Caenorhabditis elegans: one gene and its partners. The protein of the gene in region 3 interacts with the protein of the main gene of each other region in a pairwise test. Each region holds a gene or a part of one and is shown on either strand. Other genes may lie near its edges. The genes, in order: fbf-2, fbf-1 and cpb-1.

Region 1 (8,124 bases), on a different chromosome or scaffold from region 3:
GAGGGAGACTGTTGGGTTACTGTAGTGGTATTGTGGGAGTAATTCTTTTTTTTTTCGCATAGCCAACAAATTAGTTCCATACCCGTTGCTCTATAAGTTTTGTCTATAATGTCTATATGTATAAGTCTATAATGTAATAAAAAACTTGCGGGTTCGGTCAGTTATCTGTCAGGTGTTTAAAATTTTGACTTCAGCTGACATTTTGAAACTTTTGATCAACACTTTAGAAATGTTTTTTTTCTAAATTTATCGAATCTTGTATAAAATTATTATTGTTTTCGGTCAATTTGAATGTTTATATCACGATTTTAGATTTGAAAAAAAAACGGAGATAAGTTGTCAAAAGTTAGTTCATAAAACGTATTGACTCCAAGTACCGATATCTCCGCGAAAAAACAATTTGGTAAAAAAATGTTCAACTGACAAATCGTAGATCATACCATATTCAACAACTTTGTAGTTGAAAACTATGACAAATAAATTGACGACCGAGATAGGATACCTACATTTTCATTTTCAGAAAATCTTCTGAGTTTTAAAACATTTATAGAGGACTTTTTAAATGTTTCTGAAATTTTTACAAAAGTTTTACAAGAGAGCAAGAGATCATATCGTGTTTTTTTTAATTTCTAGATCCAAATGGCCATAATAAGTTCTGCTCATTTCATAGTGAATAAATTTCCAGAAATTAAAAAAAACACTATATAATCTGAAAACTGTTATTTCCACAATACCACTACAGTAACTCAACAGTCTCCCTCCATTAACTCCATCTACAATTATGACCTATGTATTTTGAAAAAAAATTCATACATTTGTTTATATCTAGAATATAAAATACTATAGACATTAATTTTTAATTCGTAGTAAAAAATTAGTAGTAAAAGATACGAAACATAGTGAAAAGTACAATCCCTGCCATTGTAGTAAAAATGTCTACCGTAGCAAAAGATACAAACTGTAGCAAAACATCGGAATAAAAAACCGTAGTGAAAGATCCACGTAGTAAAAAATGAGGTAGTAAAAAAGTATTTTCCGTAGTAAAAGATATATGTGGTCAAATGGTAGTAAAAGAGATCACGTAGTAAAAGAGCCAATTGTAGTAAAAGATCTAAATGCGGAATTCGTAGTAAAAGAGATTCCGTAGTAAAAGAGATCTTGTAGTAAAAGAGATACATAGTAAAAGATCAAGTAGTAAAACAGTATTTGCCATAAAATTTAAGATTAAGAATAAAGACCAGTAGATGCGATTCCAGCAGTTGAAGATGCAGTACCAGCAAATATTCCAGTAACAACTGCTCCTATTCCAACTACGACTACTTTGTCACCGGAGGAAACCAGAGCTGCAGAAGAAAAAGAGAAAAAGCAAAAAGCCAGAGAATTGAAAGACTGTATTTAAGTAAATTCGTTTTTCTATTAAAATATAAAGTCATGTTTCAGATTATAAATAATACCGGAAGTCTGTTTTCGAATGGTTGAAAGATAACAAAGACAAATGGTCCGAAGTGATGAATATGTATACACAGTGGATGTTCTGGTTTCGCATCTAACGTTCTTAATTGGCTTGAAGATATGATACTAGGAGATCCAAGACGTGCCAAGAAGGGAGGAAAACTATCAGGAGATGATGCTCTTCAATCAGTTTTTCTCGTTGCAAGCCCCGCCTATGTTTTCTTGAGATTCAAGCAGAAGCCTGGAAGAAACTCTATGAAGGCTGGATTAGACATTGATGCATGGAACGAAATTGCTGCTGAACAAGTTCTTTAAGCATGGCAGAGAGAGTTCATCAAGTCACTTCACAATCATAAGGCAAACGTTGATGAGAAACAAAAGAAGAACATTGCATCCACTTGCATCAACATCCATTGCTGATATGCTCGAGGAATTCTGTCAATTCAACTATTCCATCATCATTGCTGGGTCTTGGTCTTGCCACTTGGTTTGGAATCGAATTCAACGCTGCAACAACACAAATTGTGTCAGGAAGTACGAATTTATCTTGACAATTTTAATTTGAAAGTATTTTTGTTTCAGAGTTCTAGCCGAAGAACATTTTCTCGATGTTGGATAACAATGAGAGGATTGCCACCACCTATACGAGGACCACATGAGAGAAGGACCGCCAATGTTCGCGGAGTTCTTCCTCATCCCCAGTATCCAATTTTTGTTTTTCTATTTTCTGAGAGTCCCATTATTTTGAAATCGATGCAATTGTAAGATAAATTTCAATATGATAATTGAACTATATTTATTCTTCATGGTTTCTAATTTGATTAAATTTACAAAGTCAACATTTGTCGGTTATCAGTTTTTTGTTCTCCGAGCAAAGAACAACTTTTCTCTTCGCTTTCAAAATTGTTTTCTGAGCAGGCATTGTATGGAAGCAGGAAGCTCTCGGTGGAAGCATGACAAAGACTCGAACGATATTTTGCCAAGTTGTCTAATTTTATCTGGATTCATTAAAATCGAAAATAAAAAATTAACAAAAACAATGAACAGTAAACAGAAAGAAACAATAACACAACTGCATAAAAAGCAATAAAATAACAAAAAAGAAAAGAAAAAACAAAACTGGGCAATGATAAGAGTGGGGAAGGCACAACATCGATCTTAAAATCGAAACGAAATCATTGCACCAGTTTAAAATATTACAAAACAACAGAACATAAGTGGGTGGGATGAGATTTATGGTGAGAAAGTTCCACCTTAATCATCGCCGTGACTACCGGAAGAAGAAAATTTGACAGAGACTGAAGACTTATTGCTCCGTGGCTCTAGCATCAGGCTTCCTTCCTCGATCCCATTCTTCTCCAACTCCGGACCATCGTGCTCGGAAGCAGTACTGAAGTAATCCGTCTTGAATGAATCGTGTCCCGAAGATTGGAGTTCATAAATCGGATGAGTTGAACGGAGATTGGCAAGCGTCTCGATCATCTTTTTGCCGGATGAGAACCTGAATTTCGAATTTCAAAATATTATTGTGACAATAGTGATAACCTTGACAAGCGATGCCTTTCTTTCGTAACTCTCGAGTGCAACTTTTTCAGCCAATCCTGGAATGAGATTGCATGGTCATAGCCTCCTTCTTTCGTTTGCCGTCTTCCAGACACAGCATCACAGCAAATAGTCAGCATGCATTGAACGACGTAGTTTCCGAATTGATGGAACATCATGATATCGAGGGCATCTTTTCCCGTGTCCCTGAAAAAACATTTCATTTTTATGTGACTGAAACTAATGTTTTTACGGATGTGGAATGTATCCGTCGAAAATCTCGTCCATCATTTCGGCAAGAAGTTCCAATGGTGCATGTAGGAATGCTTTCTCAACAACATGAGAAGCAAACTTTTCCTGGGACAACGAAAGAAGGTTGCGCCTGAAATATTGATGATTAAAAATCAAGTAGATATTAAACAATAACACTCACATGAGGCATTTCTCTATGATACATTCCCGATAAACGGCCAGATCATCATTGGATACAATATGCTGTATTATGTAATTGGCATACTCGTTCGTAGCTAATTCTTGGCACCGATTAGTCACAGAAGTCATGAGTCGTTGGAGCGCTCGTTCACGAAGATTTTGAGCAGCGGAAGTTAAATCAACGTTCATTGAATCAGCAGTGAGCTTTTCGATAATAGTTTGCACAACACGGCACCCATACTTATCAGAACAAATCTGACGGAGGTGCTCTGGGGTGGCAACGAAATCCACAATAAACTCCCAATTCTTCAGTGGGATGACTGCTACGACTTTCTGAATGACGTGATTGGCATTTTGATCAACACAGATTGCGATAAGACGAGCATCACGAGGTAGAGCTTGAACAAGTTTACACGCAAGGGATAAATCCATGTTCTGGAGACTGGATTGGATAACACGACACGCAAATTTGTCCAAGCACATATCTGTCATTTGGGAACTGATGAAGTTCTTCAACTTTTCTTGTCGCTTTGTGTATCCGTCATCATTAGTTGCCAATGAAATTCCAATAACGCTTTGTACCAAATAATTTCCAAAGATGTTCGTGCTCAATTTCTGAAAAGAAAAGTCATGTGTGCTCGCAGAAACTAAAACTTACAAGGAAATCATCTTTTCTCCCAATAACTTGTTCAAACAATTGGAACTTCTGATAAGATGTCAGGCTGCCCTTCACTGCCTTTTCTAGGAACTGGCACCCAGTTTTGTCAACGGCAAACTTCATTAAATCGCCACTATCCAAAACTTCAGAGAGCGACAATCTTGAACGCATTTCACCATTGGAATCCAAGGACCAGGTTGGCAGCACATTGTTTGATCTTGTGAATGATCTAGAGTTCCTCGACAGAGCGGGTCTATAAATAAAAAAGAATAAATACTAGAGGATAGTGATAAATTAATTCGAACCTCGAATATTTCAAATGGTAGTGTTTTGAAGAACCATAGCTCTTGCTACGATCAATATCCGCAGAGAAACATCGGACATTTTGTGAAAAATCATCCGACTCGAGACGCGAGGAATCCGTATCAGACTGAATGAATGATGAAGTTCGGCTACGCGAGACCGGCATGAACACATTGGGCTGCAAATCAGTAATGAAAACAACCAAAAATTGCCTACTCTAACTTACAAAGCTCTGAAAACTCCGAAGGCTCATCAAATCAGTTAGCGGGGTTGGTGGCCGCGATGTAACAATGTGATTCTGTTGATGGCGAGCATAATTAATCCCATCGTTCATATTGAGCATTGAGAAATACGGGTTGAGAGAGTTGAAGTCCCACATAGGTGTCTCATGCTGCGCCATTGGTGATTGTGCGGGAGTCGGATAACTGTCAATCCCTGTAGAAGGAGGCTTCTGGGAAGTCTGTAAAACTTAGGCCATTTGTTTCTTTAGAAGTTACTGAAAACTTACTTTTCTGAACTGATTCGTTCTGCGCATCTTTGATTGGTCCATGTCGATTAGTTGATAATTTTATTAGAATGATTACTCATAGAAAAATTATCAATTCACAGAAAATAGGAATGGGAATATGAAAATAATATTTAAAATCGAATTCGCAAATGACGAAAGTGTGTCACATACTCTGGTGTTTGCGTACTTTGTCATTGTCTACCGTAACCAAATTGAAATTTTCAAATAATGCGAGATTCTAATCACATGTTTCAAGAATTAAAAAGTGTATTTAAAATAATTATCAATTTGATTACTAATGATTACTAGAAACAATAAAAATTTTTGGAAAATTCCGGGACCGTAACATATCAAATTGATAAACACATTTCAACCTCCCGAAAAGCTATAAACCGGTCGACTGACGGTGACGACATTTTACGAGCTATTCTGTTTCAGACTAAACACTTTAAATTGCTCGAAACACAAAATTTTCTTTCCCTATATTTGATGATTTGGAATATTCTCGTTGTTGTGGTTACGATCGTTACTAAATCGCTAGAGACACTCGAAGTTGATTTAGCAGGTCTAGTGAAGCAAACCGTAGCGGGAAACGAAGGAGTGCTGCATAACTGCAGTTCTGATCAAGATCAAGTGCTACAACAATGTTATATAGATATGTTTCAATCATATGGTTCAAATGTGACTAGCCTTCCCCCAGCAGACGAAGATCCATTTAAGAAAATTCGGTACGATGCCACTGGAATGTGTAGGTATGTGAAGGTATTACAACATTGCAACACCTTTTAAATTGTAAAATTATTGAAGAATTTCAATAGAACCGGTTTTACATGCTAGAATAAATATTTTTAAAAAAGACGAATAATTACAGTACATATACAACTCTACGTCACTGTCATAGTGACGTCATCAATGATTGTCTCAACTATAACACTTTCAATGCAATTTTTGGTTCAGAAAGCAATGCAGCTTATTACATCTCACAAACGGGGTTTCTTGAATTCTATTGTAATTATGGAAATGATTGTGAGGTTTTTCATTCTCGTTCATTGTTTTATAAATATTTCAGTTGTGGCATATTATGAATGTATGCAAGCAATCAGTTTGAATGATCTCTCTGACACGATTTATACTGAATGTTCCGTTTTGGAAGTTGGCAGTTGCGAGTGAGTCTAATAGTTTCAGACTTATTGAGATTAGTTTTTAATTTTGAGCTCCGTATCACGAACCACACAATGTGAGCGAGCAGTAGTGAGAAAATCATGTGGAAATAGTGCTGTCAAATCATACTGCCAATATCAGAAGATTCTCACCCACATGACTGGGTGGAACTTCTGTGAGTACATGCCATGCATCAATTCGTCGCAACCTCGAACATTCTTCTTCTTAATAATTTTAATGTATCTCTGCAAAATTTTTGTTTGATCTCATTTATAAAACAATAAAAGTTTATCTATTCAAATGGGAAAATCATTTGATTCACAACGGAAATGGAAGCAAAAAAGCTTCCAGAAAAAAGAAACCCGCGAAATTTCTTATGATACACTAATTAGAAAAGACGGTAGGAGGTTCTGTTTTTGATCAGAGCCGAATTTTTAAAGTGAGTAGCAAGATGATTCCACTCGAGACTTTCGCAGACTTCAGCCAATGATGTATCAACAGCTTGCGAATCAGTAGCAGACGACTTCAGTTCATCTCCAGCTTTGTTGAGAAGCTTTGCACATCTTCCAAATTGTCCAAGAGCAGCTGCATGTTTGGCAGAGATCAGTGCAGTTTTAGTATCATCAGCAGACAACCAAACGAGAAGCTTGACGTAAAACTGATTTCCAGTCCAATTACTATCCAACTTTTTCAGTTCTTCAGAGACAGTTGCATCAATTTGTTCAGATTTTGATTTCAGTGCTTCATAACCTTCAGACTTCTTATTGATCACTTCTCCTTGCTTTCCACCGAAAATTAGAGGAGTGATTCCTCCGAAACGAAGACTTGCTGGAACGTCGAACTTGCTCTTACGAACTTCAATATCCTGCTCCAATGATGAAAGAGCTTGCAAAGCGAGAATAATACTTTTCTTCCGTTCCTCAAATTGTGAAATCAACTTCACCACATCCTTTCGCTGGTCCTCACTGCCTCCGGTTAGTGCCAGCCATTTGTCAACAGTAAGGAGATCATCATCATGTTCTTGCTTGACGGATGAGAACTGAAGAGTTTCATTCGGTTTTGTGATTTGCAAAATTTGACCACATAATTCAATAATCTTCTGCACGTTTTCCGGTGTTTGATCCACAAGTTTTGCTTGCATCAATTGCTTTACTCGATTCTGAAGTAGTGGGAGATGATCTGGATACTTCTGCAGACAAGCTTCGAAAAATTCTTTCGCTGCCTTTTCGTCTGTCAATTTTTGCACCCATGATACTTCCAAATCGCGAATGGCGTCTGTAAATATGAATTTAATAAAAGATACAATTTTTAATTATTATCTACCAGTCATTTCCTGATTTTGATTCGTATCTTTCTTTGTTGTAACCATTGACAATCCTTTCGTAGGACGAGTAGAGTACTCACTGAGAAAGTAAATAACTTCAGATTTGTCTACATCACTCAAATCAGAATCCTTGAGAGCACTAAATGTTCCAGCAAGGAAACTTCCACTTGTTGGTACGATAGTCTTTGGCAATTTATCATCAGCGATATTCATAGCGTAGACGGTCATTTCTTGATTTGGAAGAAGGGCTTTTCCAGCAAATTTGCACTCTTTTCCAAGTGTTGCATCGCTGGCAGAAGCTGCGAGGTCAACAGAAATTTTGTTTCCAAGTTTCACATGAACACTGAAACACAAAAATCATTTCAGTTAGAATTTAAAGAATTACTTACAGCAGAGGAAGTTCCTTCATTCCTTGCAAAACTTGATCATCCGGATATCTAATCTGAGCCTGAATAGTATAATCTCCTTTCTCAAGCTTCTGAGTCCAACGATCCGGGTACGAAGAAGAAGCACCCACAAACGACTTGTTTGCTCCGAAAATTTGGAAGAGTACACAGTCCACAGGAGATTCATACAAATATGGAGTAAGGCCAGCAAGTTGAAGTTGCACTTCACTTGGTTTTTGAACTGAAAAAATAATATTTTAATAATTATGTAGTTAAAAAAGGTTACCTTTAAGCTGATAAGTCAACAGAAGACGATTGATTTGAAGTCCAGACGTAAGGAACATATCACGTGGTCCCA
Region 2 (7,893 bases), on a different chromosome or scaffold from region 3:
ATGTGGTTTCGAATATTTATGGATTGCTTTATTCTAAAACTGACTCTGAAATATTTTGCATCCATATGACTACTAATTGTCATATTATACCGAACACTACTAACTTTAGTGGTTTTTAACTTTTAAATCCACTAAAACTCGGAATGGTACAGAACATGCAAATTGTAATTTCAAGAACTGAATGTGGTTTCGAATATTTATGGATTGCTTTATTCTAAAACTGACTCTGAAATATTTTGCATCCATTTGACTACTAATTGTCATATTATACCGAACACTACTAACTTTAGTGGTTTTTAACTTTTAAATCCACTAAAACTCGGAATGGTACAGAACATGCAAATTGTAATTTCAAGAACTGAATGTGGTTTCGAATATTTATGGATTGCTTTATTCTAAAACTGACTCTGAAATATTTTGCATCCATATGACTACTAATTGTCATATTATACCGAACACTACTAACTTTAGTGGTTTTTAACTTTTAAATCCACTAAAACTCGGAATGGTACAGAACATGCAAATTGTAATTTCAAGAACTGAATGTGGTTTCGAATATTTATGGATTGCTTTATTCTAAAACTGACTCTGAAATATTTTGCATCCATTTGACTACTAATTGTCATATTATACCGAACACTACTAACTTTACTGGTTTTTAACTTTTAAATCCACTAAAACTTGGAATGTTTCAAAACACTTGAAGAACGTCCTTCATTCATTTTTTATGTACTGCGTAAAAATCTGTGTTGTTAGATTTTAAAAAATATTTGAGTCCTATTCCTACCTATTGCCACGGCTTCAGACGTCAACAAATAAGGGGACACGTTGCTTACTCCTGATTTTCCACGTGAAAAGTGCATGAGGAAATCGTTTTGTATGATATCAAAGGTTTTAACAATCCCGATTACTTTTTTTTTTCTTTTTTTTAAATCCAATTCCTCTTTTTCCAATCTTTCTATACGTTTCAAGGGAGGCATATTCATTCTAGTTCTCGCAGCACTCTCCATTTCTCGCGTATACTCTAATGTAAGATTACTGTAGAGAATAAAGTGCAGCGAGACTATTCCGAATAGACACTTATCCAATGAAACTCATAGAAGTACAACACTTATAGTATAAGTGCTGAAGAGTAGAGATTGAAATCAAATTTATTTACAGATGCTGTTTCTCGTCTGTTCTGTTATTCTCACTGCTGCCGTATTGGTGAACTGCGGAAAATTTAAGGCTAAAAAAGGCGAGTTTACTGAAGTAATTGGGAGGAACTTACCTTTCATTCTCATTTTATTTTAAATACTCTGTGTTTTCAGTCGAAGAGGAGATTGGTGGGTCGATGATGTTCGCACCGAGAAGACCACCGCCAGGCGTGGAGGCTCGCCCCACAATTCCAACATCAATGGTTTACATGGAGAACGACGACGCCAACTCTACCTGGCGTCAACGAGAGGAAATCTTCGAATAATTTGTTTGTTGTTTTTGCGTAATGAATTATTTTAGTGTTGAAATAATTTTATTTAATTTTTAGAGTTTTCGTGTCCAAATTTATCTGGATTCATTAAATTCGAAAAAAAAAAACAAAACAATGAACAATAAACAGAAAGAAACAATAACACAACTGCATGAAAAGCAATAAAACAACAAAAAAGAAAAGAAAAAACAAAACTGGGCAATGATAAGGGTGGGGATGGCACAACATCGATCTTAAAATCGAAACGAAACCATTGCAACAGTTTAAAATATTACAAAACAACAGAACATAAGTGGGTGGGATGAGATTTATGGTGAGAAAGTTCGCATGAGCCTCAGGTTACCTTCCTCGATTCCATTCTTCTCCAACTCTAGACCATCGTGTTCGGAAGCAGTACTGAAGCAATCCGTCTTGAATGATTCATGTCCCGAAGATTGGAGTCCATAAATCGGATGAGTTGAACGGAGATGGGCAAGCGTCTCGATCATCTTTTTGCCGGATGAGAACCTGAAATTCGAATTTCAAAATATTATTGTGACAATAGTGATAACCTTGACAAGCGATGCCTTTCTTTCGTAACTCTCGAGTGCAACTTTTTGAGCCAAACTTGGAATGAGTTTGCATGGTCATAGCTCCCTTCTTTCGTTTGTCGTCTTCCAGACACAGCATCACAGCAAATAGTCAGCATGCATTGAACGACGTAGTTTCCGAATTGATGGAACATCATGATATCGAGAGCATCTTTTCCAGTGCCCCTGAAAAACAATTTAATTTTTATGTGACTGAAACGAAATTTTTACGGGTGTGGCATGTATCCGTCGAAAATCTCGTCCATCATTTCAGCAAGAAGTTCCATTGGTGCATGTAGGAATGCTTTCTCTACAACATGAGACGCAAACTTTTCCTGGGATAACGAAAGAAGATTGCGCCTGAAATATTAATGATTAAAAATCAAATATATATTAAACAACACTCACATGAGGCATTTCTCTATGATACATTCCCGATATACGGCCAGATCATCATTGGATACAATATGCTGTATTATGTAATTGGCATACTCGTTCGTAGCTAATTCTTGGCACCGATTAGTCACAGAAGTCATGAGGCGTTGGAGTGCTCGTTCACGAAGATGTTGAGCAGCGGAAGTTAAATCAACGTTTATTGAATCAGCAGTGAGTTTTTCGATTATAGTTTGCACAACACGGCACCCATACTTATCAAAACAAATCTGACGGAGGTGCTCTGGGGTTGCAACAAAATCCACGATAAACTCCCAATTCTTCAGTGGGATGACAGCTACGACTTTCTGAATGACGTGATTGGCATTTTGATCAACACAGATTGCGATAAGACGAGCATCACGAGGTAGAGCTTGAACAAGTTTACACGCAAGGGATAAATCCATGTTCTGGAGACTGGATTGGATAACACGACACGCAAATTTGTCCAAGCACATATCTGTCATTTGGGAACTGATGAAGTTCTTCAACTTTTCTTGTCGCTTTATGTTGTCGTCATCATAAGTTGTCAATGACATTCCAATGATTTCTTGTACGAAATAATTTCCAAAGATGTTCGTGCTCAATTTCTGAAAAGAAAAGTCGTGTGTGCTCGCAGAAACTAAAACTTACAAGGAAATCATCTTTTCTCCCAATAACTTGTTCAAACAATTGGAACTTCTGATAAGATGTCAGGCTGCCCTTCACGGCCTTTTCGAGGAACTGGCACCCAGTTTTGTCAACGGCAAACTTCATCAAATCGCCACTATCCAAAACTTCAGAGAGCGACAATCTTGAACGCATTTCACCATTGGAATCCAAGGACCAGGTTGGCAGCACATTGTTTGATCTTGTGAATGATCTAGAGTTCCTCGATAGAGCGGGTCTATAAATAAAACAGAATAAACACTTGAGGATAGTGATAAATTAATTCGAACCTCGAATATTTCAAATGGTCATTTTTCGAAGAACTATTGTTACGATCAATCTCGGTAGAGCAATATCGGACATTTTGTGAAAAATCGTCCGGCTCGAGACGCGAGGAATCCGTATCAGACTGAATGAATGATGAAGTTCGGCTACGCGAGACCGGCATGAACACATTGGGCTGCAAATCAGTAATGAAAACAACCAAAAATTAGCTACTCTAACTTACAAAGCTCTGAAAACTCCGGAGGCTCATCAAATCAGTTAGCGGGGTTGGTGGCCGCGATGTAACAATGTGATTCTGTTGATGGCGAGCATAATTCATCCCATCGTTCATATTGAGCATTGAGAAATACGGGTTGAGAGAGTTGAAGTTCCACATTGATGTCTCATGCTGCGCCATCGGCGAATGTGCGGGAGTATGATGATTTCCAACCTCTGTAGATGTGGGCTTTTGCGGAGTCTGTAAAATTTAGGCCATTTATCAATATTAATGGCTGAAAACCAACTTTTCTGAACTGATTTGTATAGCGCATTTTTGATTGGTCCATGTCGATTAGTTGATAATTTTATTCGAATGGTTACTTATAGAAAAACTATCAATTCACAGAAAATAGAGAATAGGAATAAGAAAATAATATTTCAAATTGAATTTGAGAATGACGAAAGTGTGTCACATACTCTGGTGTTTGCGTACTTTGTCATTGTCTACCGTATCCAAATTGAAATTTTCAAACAATGCGATTTGCTTATTTATCTCTCAAAATTTTAGCATCTCCATGGAGAGATATTCTCTGTTAAAACAGATAAAAAATTGTGGAATATTCCAGACCGTACCGTATAAAATTGATAAAACATTTAAACCTCCCGAAAAGCTATAACCAGTTGGCTCTCGCGAGACGCGAGGGACGATCGTCGTCGACGATCGTATGATTGGGATTGGTTTTTTTAAAATTAATTCATAATCACATAATTCAATTTCCAGAAGACTAAGTCCCCATAAACCTCTATAGAGTTGCATTAAATCTCCATATTCCGGATGATGTTTTGATATTTAGAATTTCAGAAAATATTGCATTGTATTTGGATGTTGTAGGAAGCTTAAGCTTCCTACCGTTTAACCATCTAAAACGCAAATTACGATTGTTTTTCAAACATATTGTTTATTTATAAACTAGAAAACAAAAAAATTCCAAAAAAAGTTACATTCGAATATTTGGGGAATTAACGGGATTAGAAGAAATTTGAGAATCACAATCATTATTCAGGATAACCTGTCAGGGGTATCGGGAAATATTGGTAAGTTTTAGATGGTTTTGGGGAAGAATGGGCGTTTTTGGGAGTTAATATACAAAATAGAAAGGAGAAGCAATAAATTAGATAAAAATAAGAAGAATTATGAGACATTCAAGAAGTAGAAGAAGCAATTGTCTATTGTGATCCAGAAAGGGCGGAGCAAACACTTCGAACATCCCAAATAATAATCACACGATTATGGCCACTGGTAACTGGCCCTCATTCCGAGGGGACAAACTTTTAGGGTGGCAAGGTATTTTTGGGGACAAAGTATCCAAAGTGACATGGTATCCAGTCGACAAAGTGCCATTTGTCTCTGACCGGGCGTATCTTCGGTGACAAACTTTTTCAACTAGTTTTTTTATATATATTTCTTGACCATTTTTTGTTCATATTTTACTGGAATAAGTTTTTAAATGCAATTTTCCATGGATTTTCGGCCTTGACTACTCACAATTGAATGCATGAACAATGATCTTTTGGGAAAATGCTGTAAAACGTCCAACTAACTTGGAATATCGTAAGATTCTTCGAGATGATGACGTCGGATCCTTCGGAGCTGAAGGATCAGAACATCAGGAAGAGCCTCGTGATCCTTTGGAGCTGAAGGATCAGACCATCAGGAGGTACCCTTACGATCCTTCTTATCTGAAGGATCAGAACATCAGAAGGTACCCATGTGATCCTTCGGAGCTGAAGGATCAGAACATCAGGAAGAGCCTCGTGATCCTTTGGAGCTGAAGGATCAGACCATCAGGAGGTACCCTTACGATCCTTCTTTTCTGAAGGATCAGAACATCAGAAGGTACCTATGTGATCCCTCGGAGCTGAAGGATCAGACCATCAGGAAGAGCCTCACGATATTCCAAGTTAGTTGGACCTTTTACAGCTTTTCCCAAAAGACCATCGTTCATACATTTAATTGTGAGGGAATTATAACCGATAATCGATTGAAAATTGCATTAAAAAACTTATTCCAGAAAAATGTGAACAAAAATTAGTTGAAAAATACATATAAAAATCTAGTTGAAAAAAAGGTTGTCACCAAAGATATGCCCCCCAAGATACACCCCAGTTTGTCTACTGGATACTTTGTCTCCTTGGATACTATGCCCCCAAAGAACCTTTGCCACCAAAAAGTTTGTCATCTCGGAATGAAGGCCGTTTGTTCCATAGTTTGTAGATATTTATGTTGCTCGAGAACTTCCGGAAAACAGGGAAAAACGTTTCATCTGCAAAGAAAGGCTCAGAAATTTCAGAATTTGATTTTAATTTTGAGTACGCCAGTCGGAGCACGCGCTTCAGCGCGTGCGAACGGCTGGTTTTTATATATTTAAACTCTCAACGTAAGTTGTTTCCTTTTTTCTGATTTAGCTGATTTTCACTTTTCAGATTGCAACATTGATTACAATTAATGTGGATTATTGGAAAATAAAAAAAACGTGTGGGACAAGATGCACTTGCTGCAGGACCTCTTCGCTCTTCTAAAACACGCCGAGATTATGAAGCACATCGCTAGTTTCAACGTTTCAGTTCATGGAGTGTAAGTGAAGACTACCAATATATTTTTCTTGTAACAATTGATCATTTTAGGGACTGGTCTCTATCCGACATCTGCTTCAAACCAGCTCCACCATCTGTCGCAGCCGATTCTGCCGCTTCCTCGCTTGGTGACGTCATCGATATGATATGCATTTGGATTACTCCAATAGATTATTTTTGCGATGGATCGAAAGCTTTTGAGCCGCATCCATCTCTCCCAAAATCCTCACTCCGATCACTTGGGACGTCGTTGAGTGCGCTGTCAGTTGATGATATGATTCGCTGGTCAGACTTTGGGCAAATACTGTTTTACTACTTGATCTTTTACAACGCATCTCTTTTACTACAGGATCTCTTTTACTACGGAATCTCTTTTACTAAGAATTCCACATCTAGATCTTTTACTACAATTGGATATTTTACTACGGAATCTCTATTTTATCTCTCTTCTTGGAACAAAACATTTTATCTCTCTTCTTGGAACAAAACAAGATTATAAAACTGGGAGAAGAATTAGTCCGTTCCAATGCAAATCAGAGCCGTCATGACAATAGAGAAATATTTGACAACAAATCTGAAAAATAAAATTCTGATGACATCCATACTTCTGTAAAACTCACTCAAACTGAGAATCCAAGCATCAAAATACCGAGAAGTGTGGAGAATGATCCATGAATTACTGGAACAAAAACTCGATCAACTGCAGATGACGTTCGTTGAGATCTTGTTCCGAGCGCCGTCAGGAATGAGACAACCACATGAACAGTGAATTCGACTCCAATTCCAACTGCGGTGATCAAAGTTACGGCTGAAACCGGATTGAGCTTAATTCCAACGAGTCCCATGAATCCGGCAAGTTCGCAAGTCATGATTCCGAGAATACAAACAACCATAAGTGCAGCCCATGGATTAAAAAGAAGAACGGAAATGACACAGAAGACAGAGATGGTAATGATCGAAATGGCTTGCATAAGATTTCCAGTCAAGAAAAGATATTGTTCCCAGAATGTGAATGCGATTCCTTGTGGGAAATTTGGAAGTCCTTGATCGGTAAATCGTTCACAAACACTTCGGATGTCCTTTATGGCATCGACAATCACAGCAGTATCCGTGAGGCCAGTTAAGTAGAATGGAATCTGCGAATATGCAAGTGGCTCAGCAGTTGGGATGAAGTTTTCGGTATTATTCTTGCTCAATTCCCATTTTGGTGGTGTTGGGAAGAAAGTTGTAGAATCCATCAGAGTTGATAATTCCACTTGCATCAACTAGTCGAATCTTTCCTATTCTTCCAGCACACTCAAATAGAGAACCATGAGAGCACATGAGAGCGTGAGCAAGACGAGCATCCTCGGAAACATTGCTGCCAATAACTGTTCCAGATGTAAGATTGAATGATCCTTTAGCAACTTCTTCATCGAATCCGCGTTGAATACTAATGAGCCAGTCTCGCATTAATCCCAGCCAATACTTTTCTGATGGCTCTTCGTTTTTATTTTTAATCACATATTTTGAAGATCCAATCGACTGTCGGTAATTGTCAATCTGGCGTTGCTGGTGAGCATAATCAATGTTAGGTCCCTTGATGACTGCGAACATTGGGTAGAAACTGAAAAAAGAAAAAAAAATGTTTTGAATCAAAAACGAACTTCTTACCTGAAG
Region 3 (8,248 bases):
TGATCATGGATTCTATTTCGATATTAATATTGCAAATTGGGGAAAGGATGGGTGTCCAAAAAATACGACTGGATATTCGCAGCCATGAAAAACTATTTACACATCTCTCATATCTTTTTTATTTGAATAAATGAATTATTTTTAACATAATTCTTTATGATTTAATTCTCTAAATGATTTGAAAAATTTCAATTTACCATGATTGCCGTAATTTTTTGTTAGTTTTAGATTTTTGTTTTTTGTTAGTATATTCTTGTTGCATTGCCTAAACCAAGTTTTGCCCAACTTTTGCGAACTTTTGGAAAAAGTCGATATTCTTTGGGTCCACCGGAAAATGTTCAACTTGATCAACTTCTTCCATACTTCATTTTTTCTGTTTTTTTTTCAAAACATGAATCATCGAGATTATCAATTTATGGAGGAAACAGTGTGCAAATAGTGGCACCAAAAAAACGAGATGTAATCAAAAATAACTTGTTTTTCAGGTCACTCTTATCGCTTTTTGAAATAAAGTATCGGAAAATAATTACATTTGTTGATATAAAATCTTCTTTAGACTGAACCTGAAATTTGAACAAATATTTCTAAAAAAAAGCTGGTAAAAGTAAAAGTAATTATTTGTTGAAAAGATTTCAGTAAACCTAAAGTTTAGTGTTCTAGTCAACCAACAGGTCTGTTTGAATAGATGAGTACATACACACAACGTGGTATTCATATAAAACTTGTTTTTCTTCATTCTTATCACTTTCTCATTGACCATTAGTCTTGAAGAGTTGATCGAAAAGAAGAGCCGTCCTGGTATCATTTTATCATTTATTGTACTCATCATTGTTGAATTTTCTCCAAACGATCAAAAATGATAGTTTTATTTCTGCTTTTTCTTATTTCGCTCGGAATTTATCCATTTACATCAAGTTCTTCGTTAGACTGCTCAAATTGTGTTGGATCAGGTCAAGTGTGAGTTGCTTTGAAGGTGTAGTATGTTCAGTTGGGGTTCAGTACAAATACTTTTATCATGGTACAGGCGAATCTTCAAAGTTAAGAATTTCAGATGTTTCAAAATTTTCAATTTAGGTTGTGGTAAATTGTCAAATTTTTCAACAATGTAGAGCGTCCGAGCTGAGTTCCACAAAATAATTTTTCAATAGTGAATAAAATTTTGATTGGGCTTTAGGGCTGCAAGACTAATTTTTGAATGGCCTATAGCTGACAAAATCTTGATTTGATGTCATTAAATCAATATTTTCTATTAAACTTTCAGATGGTGTGTTGAACAGTCTCAGTGCAATTCAAGCTTCGTATCTTGCAGTACAAAAATCTCGGTGAGACCTGATACTCATATATAGATGAACTTATTCAACAATTCCAGCTCCAACTAAATTGCCCCACAAAACCGAAAGTTCCATATGATGAACATTTTGCACGTACTCAAATGTTGGCTCTAGCCTCGGCTTCCCATAATGCCAATCCTCAGCTGTGTCTTGAGTAAAAATATGAGCAAGCTTCAAATAATTTCAGTATAAAATAATTCCAGCAACCAAATTCCTACAATGAAGCTTTACAAAGTTCGAACTGTGAATTGTTCAACAGACTACCCTGGTATGATTCAATATAGTAATATTTATCAATTTTTTTTTGTATAACAGATGTGGCATGTTATGGATATACTGCTTATGATGTCACTCAAAAAGCTATTGTCATATCTTATAGAGGATCTCATGGACCGAACCAGAACAATCAAATACTGGAAGGAATGACTCGAGAGTATGTTTTGATTCTTTTTTTTATTATATTGGTTTCAGTGGTCTTCATTCATACTTTGGCAAAGGTACAGGTAAAATCTTCAAAGTGATCTACGATTCTTTCATGCTCCTTTGGAACGACAGGATTAATCAAGATTTACGATATTTGAAGTACAAGTACCCTGACTTTGAGTTATGGTTAAATGGGCATTCACTTGGAGGAGCCCTTTCATATACTACAGCTTCATATTTAACAACAGTTGGACTATACAAACCAGAAAATATGAAAATCATTGTTCTTGCTCCTACGAAAATAGGAGACTACGATTTTGCAGCGTGGTATTCGTCCACAGTGAGTCTAAAATTTCAAGTTTCATGAACATTTGATAATTTTCCAGTTTTCATATTCATTCCATATAATTCACCGATTGGATCTTATTCCTAGAGTTCCAGCAATTGACCCTCATACCAATACAACTGTCATGTTTCAACCAAGAACTGAAATTTGGTAAGTCATAGTACTTGAAAGTTTCGATTTGAATACTCTTTAGGTACAATAACTACATGAGATTGAATGACACATATCAAATTTGTGAAGAAGCCGATGGAGACTACTGTAGTGATGCAGTTACAGAAGGATTGAATATGAATGATCATGGATTCTATTTCGATATTAATATTTCAAATTGGGGAAAGGATGGGTGTCCAAAAAATACGACTGGATATGCTCAACCTTGATAACCTTTCAATTTTTAATTTTGAGAAAGAATGAATATTTTGAATCTAAAATTTTTTAAACCGAACATTGTTCTGTCAAATTTATTAGAACTTCTTCATGAATTCCTCGAAACGAAAATAAAATTCTTTCACGCAAAAATTAACACGTGAAATACGTGGAAAGTAGGCCATGGGGTCAGTGTCAAGTTTTGCCACGCACACTGTTCAGTGTTCTCAAAATTTCTTTAACCATGCTAAAATACTTTTTTCCACAAGTTCGCTTTTTTAAATTTTTATTCAGAGAATAATTTTTTCGTATACGAATTTGTGAGAACATTGCGGTTCTTGTCATAATATTTGCATATAAGAATGTTCAAAATTTAAAGAAACTTTCAGTTTTTTATATTTTTGTGATTATAAACGCGATTTTATGTGTTATCTGTGATTTTAAATTTGGCCAAATGTGTGCAAACAGATTTATTATAGTCCTTTTCGAAAGCTTTGCTTTCTATTGCAGAAAAAAAGCGAAAATCTGAGAAATGCAAATGCGCTCTGCTGCACTGCAAAAAAAAAGATTTTTAAAGAGCAATTTTTCATCGCTTTTTTGTCTCAATCTTCTAAATTATTGTCTATTTTAAATAATTGAATAACTTTTAAAACTATTTTCAGAGAGATGCAGTATCAGCTGAGTCCAAGTGGGGATTTCAAGACATCTGCTCCAGTTCGATCGTCTCATGGCCATCGCCGTTCAACCGAGTCAAAAAAATCGGGAGGACATGGAAATCCATATTTGTCTACAGACAAAACGAATCTGGATATCAGTGTATCATTTTTGACTTCGCAGGCCCAGAAGAAAATGAGAGGAATGTCGGCGAATCATGGAATTTTCGACCCCACTGAGATGCTGACTGCAGATGATCCCTCGAATTATGGATACCAATTCTTGAACCACGCCACATTTTACAATAACATGGATATAATGCAAGCAGCGTCTGGAGATGTTCCTCCGTTAATGAGTGTCAATCCTTACAAACAATCATTTGACATCAATGATGCTTCCGCGGCAATGAACATGGCTCAATTTGCTCGTTTGTTATACTCATGTTTTCATACCTATTGTTGAATTTTCAGATACGTTGAATGCAATTCAAAACAGTTCCTATTCAATGTCTCATTATAACCAAGCACCTATGCAGCATTTCATTTCGCCCAACAGTTTTCATGTATCGTACAACCAGCGGTTCCCACATATTAAAAAGAATGCAACGCACGCGAATCGTATGGTAGAAATAAAGAAGATCAACGGACACCGTTACATGGAAGTGACCGATCCCCAAGCCGTATCTGCTCCACCAGAATACAAACGCCTTGATGGGTCACTAATGGGCGTATCAAAAAGTTGTTTGGAGGCCTCGAAAAAACGTCCGATTTCAGCTGAACCGCTATACTCCCGCAAGGTTTTTATTGGCGGTCTTCCAATCGACGTCTCAGAAGGTATTTTGTGTCATAAATTATTATTCTAATTTTCTGAAAGTTTCTAGAGCAAGTTTGGGCCACGTTCGGAGCTTTCGGGAAGGTGCTGATTGATTGGCCTCGTCGCCCGGAGCACAATGCAGAACGAGCTGAACAGGAATTGAAAAAAGGAAGCGGTTGTATGTTATATTCGTACACATCATCAACAAAGATAAACTATTTACAGCACGCGCTGTAACGGGATATGTTTTTCTCGTTTTCACTCACGAGCGGTCTGTCCAGGAGCTAGTCAATGCATGCGAGTTTTATGAAGATAAGTTAGTGAAAGATTGAATTTTCATAATAATAATAATAATAATATTGCTATTTTTAAGATACTACCTTCAGTTGTCTTCTCCAACGATGACCGACAAAGCAGTCCAAGTCCGGCCTTGGCGTCTTTCCGACATTGACTACTTCTGTAATGACAACTCTTCGGTCGATCATCGTCGCACTGTCTTCATTGGTGGCGTTCCTCGTCCGACCCGTGCTCAAGATCTTGCACGTTGTCTTGAAGGTCACTATGGAAAAGTGTCGTATGTGGGAATTGATATTGATCCAGAGTTGAAATACCCAAAAGGAGCTGCCCGAGTCACTTTCTCAACTTCTCAAGCATTTGTTCGCGCCATATCGGGTCGTTTCGTGCAGGTCAATCATGCCGAAAATAACAAACGAGTGAGTCGAGATTAGAACTAATTGAGTTTTTTAACTTCACAATTTTAGGTTGAAATCAAGCCGTATGTGATGGAAGAACAATACTGTGATGAGTGTGAAGGAAGATTGTGCAAGCATAACTATGCTCCATACTTCTGTGGACATGCTTCCTGTCTTCAATATTACTGTGAAGGTTGTTGGGATCGCATGCATATTGGAAAGAATGAAGATAACAAGCTCGAAGATCAGCATTATCCAATGGTGCGCACTGGAGATCAAACAAGAGTCAGTTCTAATAAAATAATATCTTTATTGTATTCAGAAGTATTTTATTTTCAGCTTCTCAAGCATCTTCCACATCGCTCCTCTGGTTTTAAGCCTGCTCCAGTTTTCCATCCATCTAGCCAATCTACTACGGCAAAAATCTTAGCGTATGGAGATCAGTCACAGAGACAGTTTTCTGCCACTCCCTCCTATAGTTTCTGAGACTCTTATCTCACTAAAAAGTATTCCACCGTTTTATCCGCACCCTACCACCCCCTTTCATATTTTTAAAGTTTTGCCTTAATATTCCGAGAATTCTGCTCAATTTTGAAACTCTTCCTTTTCAAAAAGAAGTACCATATTTTCGTGTGAATCTCTCCGTGCAACTCTACCATTCCCCTAGATTCCATTGTAAACTTCAAGTAATCATGTTAAATTTTCATTATGTAATATTCTCTTCATGTTTTATTTCTCGTCTCTTGACATTTCCCCCAACATGTTTCTATATTATTATCAATCCCTGGTACCCTATATCTTGTGTATTTATGTACATCCCATTCTTAGCCTATCCGAATTGGCAGAATTTTGTAATTTCCTTTAGAATTTTTTATTTATTGCCCGTATCCCACAAAGTTCATACTCGATCAGAGATATAGCTTAGATAGTTTGAATTGTAGCTATCATTCAGATTAATTATATTATTTATTGTCACCCCGTGATATTTAGTCCCCCATATTTAACCCGTTTTTAATTTTCCCGGTTTTAAAATTGCTCCGAACATTGGCTTTATAATTTTTTTGTGACGGAAGAAATTTCCAAATAAAGTTCTTTCACCAACAAAGAAATGTTCTAGAAGCAAAAATCATTGCCGCATCTTTTGCGAATTTTAAAGTGCACGTACTGATAACCCCACCTCCTCCCATCAATTTCCGTGAATCGAAACTTTGATTAAGTCCACGCCTTATCGAATGGCTCATTTCACCTCGAGGTAAAACTCTTTGAAAGATGACAGCATCCCCTGCAGCTTACCTTTTGCTTCATTTATTTCTGAGACTTACAGCTAAGACTTGTTGGCAGTGTTTACAGGATGGAGGACAGTTAGTTTCAAATGATGTTTGCGAGGTTTTGATTGAAGATTTTCAGATTTTGTTTAGATAATAATCAATGCATAGTTGATGTGTTAACAATTGAGACAAAATGTAATAGGATAGTTGATGTAAGTCTGTGGGCCCAATAAAAGTAATAAGAAACAATTTTAGCTTCCAATAAATTGTCCATCTGTACCAGCACTACAGTATGCTTATGACGACGATTTTGTCAGAAATACAGTTTTACCTGTTATAGCTGCAACCGGGACAGATAATCCACAAAAATGTCTTGAGTGAGTTTAGGAAAATAGTTTATTGCCAAGAAGCAAAACAAATTTCTAAGAAAATACGGTACCCGGTCTCGAAGCGATCGCTTTTTTTTAAATTCAAAGGAGCGTGCGCCGTTAAGGTGTACTGTAGTTGCTAACTTTTCGTTGTTGGGTAATTTGAATCGATTGTTTATATTTTTCGATAAAAATATATTTAAAAAAATAAAATACTGAAATAAAAACTAATAAGACAATGTTCAAAATAAGAATTTTCAGCAACCAACTTCCTTCTATGAAAGTCTATAAACGGCGTGAGGCAAACTGCTCCTCACTTTTCTCAGGTAAATCCAAATTTTTCTCGGAATTCAATCATACTGCTTCGTTTTAGATGTAACTTGTTCTGGATACACTGGAATTGATTTCGACCGAAAAGTAATCGTTCTCTCGGTTCGTGGATCACACGGTGATCATCAATATTATGATTTGTGGAAAATCGGAAATTTTAAGTTGGTTTTAACATATTTTACTCTTAAAATCAGATTAATTTCAGTGGAACAGTCCCATTTCTAAATATTGGAAGAGTTACGAAGAAGTTTAATGACAACTTTGAATCATTATGGTATAGTGGATTGGGTGAAGATTTGCAAAATTTGATTGATGCCTATCCGGATTATCAGTTATGGGTGGGTAAAGGGTTTGAAAATTATTAAGTATGGATGTATAGTTTAAGACAGTACAATAAACACGACAACATGAATATTGCGGGAAGTCAAGGTTTGAGTTGTGTGACGTCACACGAAGTACGGTTCTTGTTATTAATTTAAACCTTAACTTTTAAAATGTTGGGAAGTGAAGTTTCAGTATCACGAATTCTTAAAAACATTTCGTTTCATTTTCAACACCTGAAGTGAATCCCCTCAACCCCAGAATTTCAGATAACTGGGTACTCGATGGGTGCATCAATTGCATTACTTACATCTGCATTCATTGCTCAAACTGGAATGAGCTCTCCTTACAATATGAAAGTAATTTTATTTGGATGTCCTAGATGTACAGATTATGATTTTGCAATGTGGCATAGTACCAACGTAACGAGATAAATAGAGAACGTCTAAGTTTAAAAGTTCATATTTCAGTTTCCATATTCTTACCACATTATCCACGCACATGACTATGCACCACGTCTCCCTTTCTTTGATAATATTGATAACACAACACTTTATCACCCACGAAGTGAAGTTTGGTACAACAATGATATGCGTGAAGGCGACTCTTTTGTCATTTGCGAGCAAGCAGATCAACCGTTTTGCAGGTTTTCGCAACATTTCTTATCAGCAACTATCAACAAAAATGTTTGATTTTTTCAGCAGTCAGGTGCAGAACCTGTCAAATGCCGACCATGCACATTATTTTAATATGGACTTGTACAGATGGTCAGCTGATGGATGTCCGAAGAATAAGGAAGATTACAGGCCAATTGCAGAGAGTGCGGTTAAAAATGGGAAGACGTTCAGTTATGATCTTTTGATTGTGATATTGGGTGCTGTAATAATATTTTTATAAAAAGCATAATATGTACACCAAGTATTTGTCAATAAAAATATATTCTTATTATTACATCGGAACTTTTAAAAAGTTTGCATTTTCAGGAAAAATGTACTACAAATTTGGAAAATACAATAAATGGGGGACAGAGATATAGATAAATAAATAATTCGCAAATTGATAATTCATCAATAATCGTGATCCAATTACCGTATTTCATTTAACAAATTATACTAATTTGACAGCACAGATATCAGTTCTTTTTTTTTGACACGACAAGAGAACCAAGAAATGAACTGCCACAGTTAACTGCAGTAGAAAAAACACAGTATTCAAGTCTCCTTCTCAATATCCTTCAATTTCTTCTTTTTCTCTGCTTTCTTGCGTTCTTGAATCTCTTGAAGAGCCACCACCAACTTATCGGCGTCGATCATTTTTCCAGGATATCCTGTATTAT

Evidence for each region.
Region 1: the proteins of cpb-1 (region 3) and fbf-2 interact in a two-hybrid assay, tested with the Caenorhabditis elegans proteins (2 studies listed by BioGRID).
Region 2: the proteins of cpb-1 (region 3) and fbf-1 interact in binary tests that used the Caenorhabditis elegans proteins (3 or more experiments, as listed by UniProt).

What each region holds. Positions count from the first base shown.
Region 1 is NC_003280.10:6,086,436-6,094,559, forward strand, and holds fbf-2 (Fem-3 mRNA-binding factor 2), read right to left. Parts: upstream 5,046-8,124; 5' UTR 4,938-5,045; coding exon 4,896-4,937; intron 4,848-4,895; coding exon 4,614-4,847; intron 4,566-4,613; coding exon 4,390-4,565; intron 4,338-4,389; coding exon 4,085-4,337; intron 4,042-4,084; coding exon 3,428-4,041; intron 3,377-3,427; coding exon 3,248-3,376; intron 3,202-3,247; coding exon 2,998-3,201; intron 2,954-2,997; coding exon 2,707-2,953; 3' UTR 2,428-2,706; downstream 1-2,427. Other genes in the region: nspg-3 (DUF19 domain-containing protein), read left to right, coding at 5,385-5,647, 5,767-5,921, 5,965-6,061, 6,110-6,320; tpp-2 (Tripeptidyl-peptidase 2), read right to left, coding at 6,445-7,331, 7,380-7,723, 7,770-8,007, 8,053-8,124. UniProt on the Caenorhabditis elegans protein: RNA-binding protein that binds to the consensus sequence 5'-UGUGCCAUA-3' in mRNA 3'-UTRs. Involved in the control of stem cells and sex determination in the C.elegans hermaphrodite germline.
Region 2 is NC_003280.10:6,076,774-6,084,666, forward strand, and holds fbf-1 (Fem-3 mRNA-binding factor 1), read right to left. Parts: upstream 4,071-7,893; 5' UTR 3,948-4,070; coding exon 3,906-3,947; intron 3,860-3,905; coding exon 3,626-3,859; intron 3,578-3,625; coding exon 3,408-3,577; intron 3,356-3,407; coding exon 3,103-3,355; intron 3,060-3,102; coding exon 2,446-3,059; intron 2,398-2,445; coding exon 2,269-2,397; intron 2,224-2,268; coding exon 2,020-2,223; intron 1,976-2,019; coding exon 1,777-1,975; 3' UTR 1,490-1,776; downstream 1-1,489. Other genes in the region: H12I13.6 (uncharacterized protein), read left to right, coding at 1,162-1,237, 1,311-1,462; F21H12.3 (uncharacterized protein), read left to right, coding at 6,147-6,235, 6,286-6,733. UniProt on the Caenorhabditis elegans protein: RNA-binding protein that binds to the consensus sequence 5'-UGUGCCAUA-3' in mRNA 3'-UTRs. Involved in the control of stem cells and sex determination in the C.elegans hermaphrodite germline.
Region 3 is NC_003281.10:9,319,184-9,327,431, forward strand, and holds cpb-1 (Cytoplasmic polyadenylation element-binding protein 1), read left to right. Parts: upstream 1-3,126; 5' UTR 3,127-3,132; coding exon 3,133-3,547; intron 3,548-3,590; coding exon 3,591-3,953; intron 3,954-4,000; coding exon 4,001-4,111; intron 4,112-4,158; coding exon 4,159-4,249; intron 4,250-4,306; coding exon 4,307-4,646; intron 4,647-4,694; coding exon 4,695-4,910; intron 4,911-4,964; coding exon 4,965-5,111; 3' UTR 5,112-5,730; downstream 5,731-8,248. Other genes in the region: C40H1.9 (Fungal lipase-type domain-containing protein), read left to right, coding at 857-957, 1,262-1,322, 1,370-1,485, 1,535-1,599, 1,647-1,764, 1,803-2,094, 2,141-2,250, 2,294-2,480; C40H1.7 (Fungal lipase-type domain-containing protein), read left to right, coding at 5,895-5,986, 6,033-6,105, 6,149-6,270, 6,523-6,587, 6,635-6,752, 6,797-6,929, 7,182-7,334, 7,383-7,558 and 1 more; cepr-104.1 (CEntrosomal Protein Related), read right to left, coding at 8,124-8,248.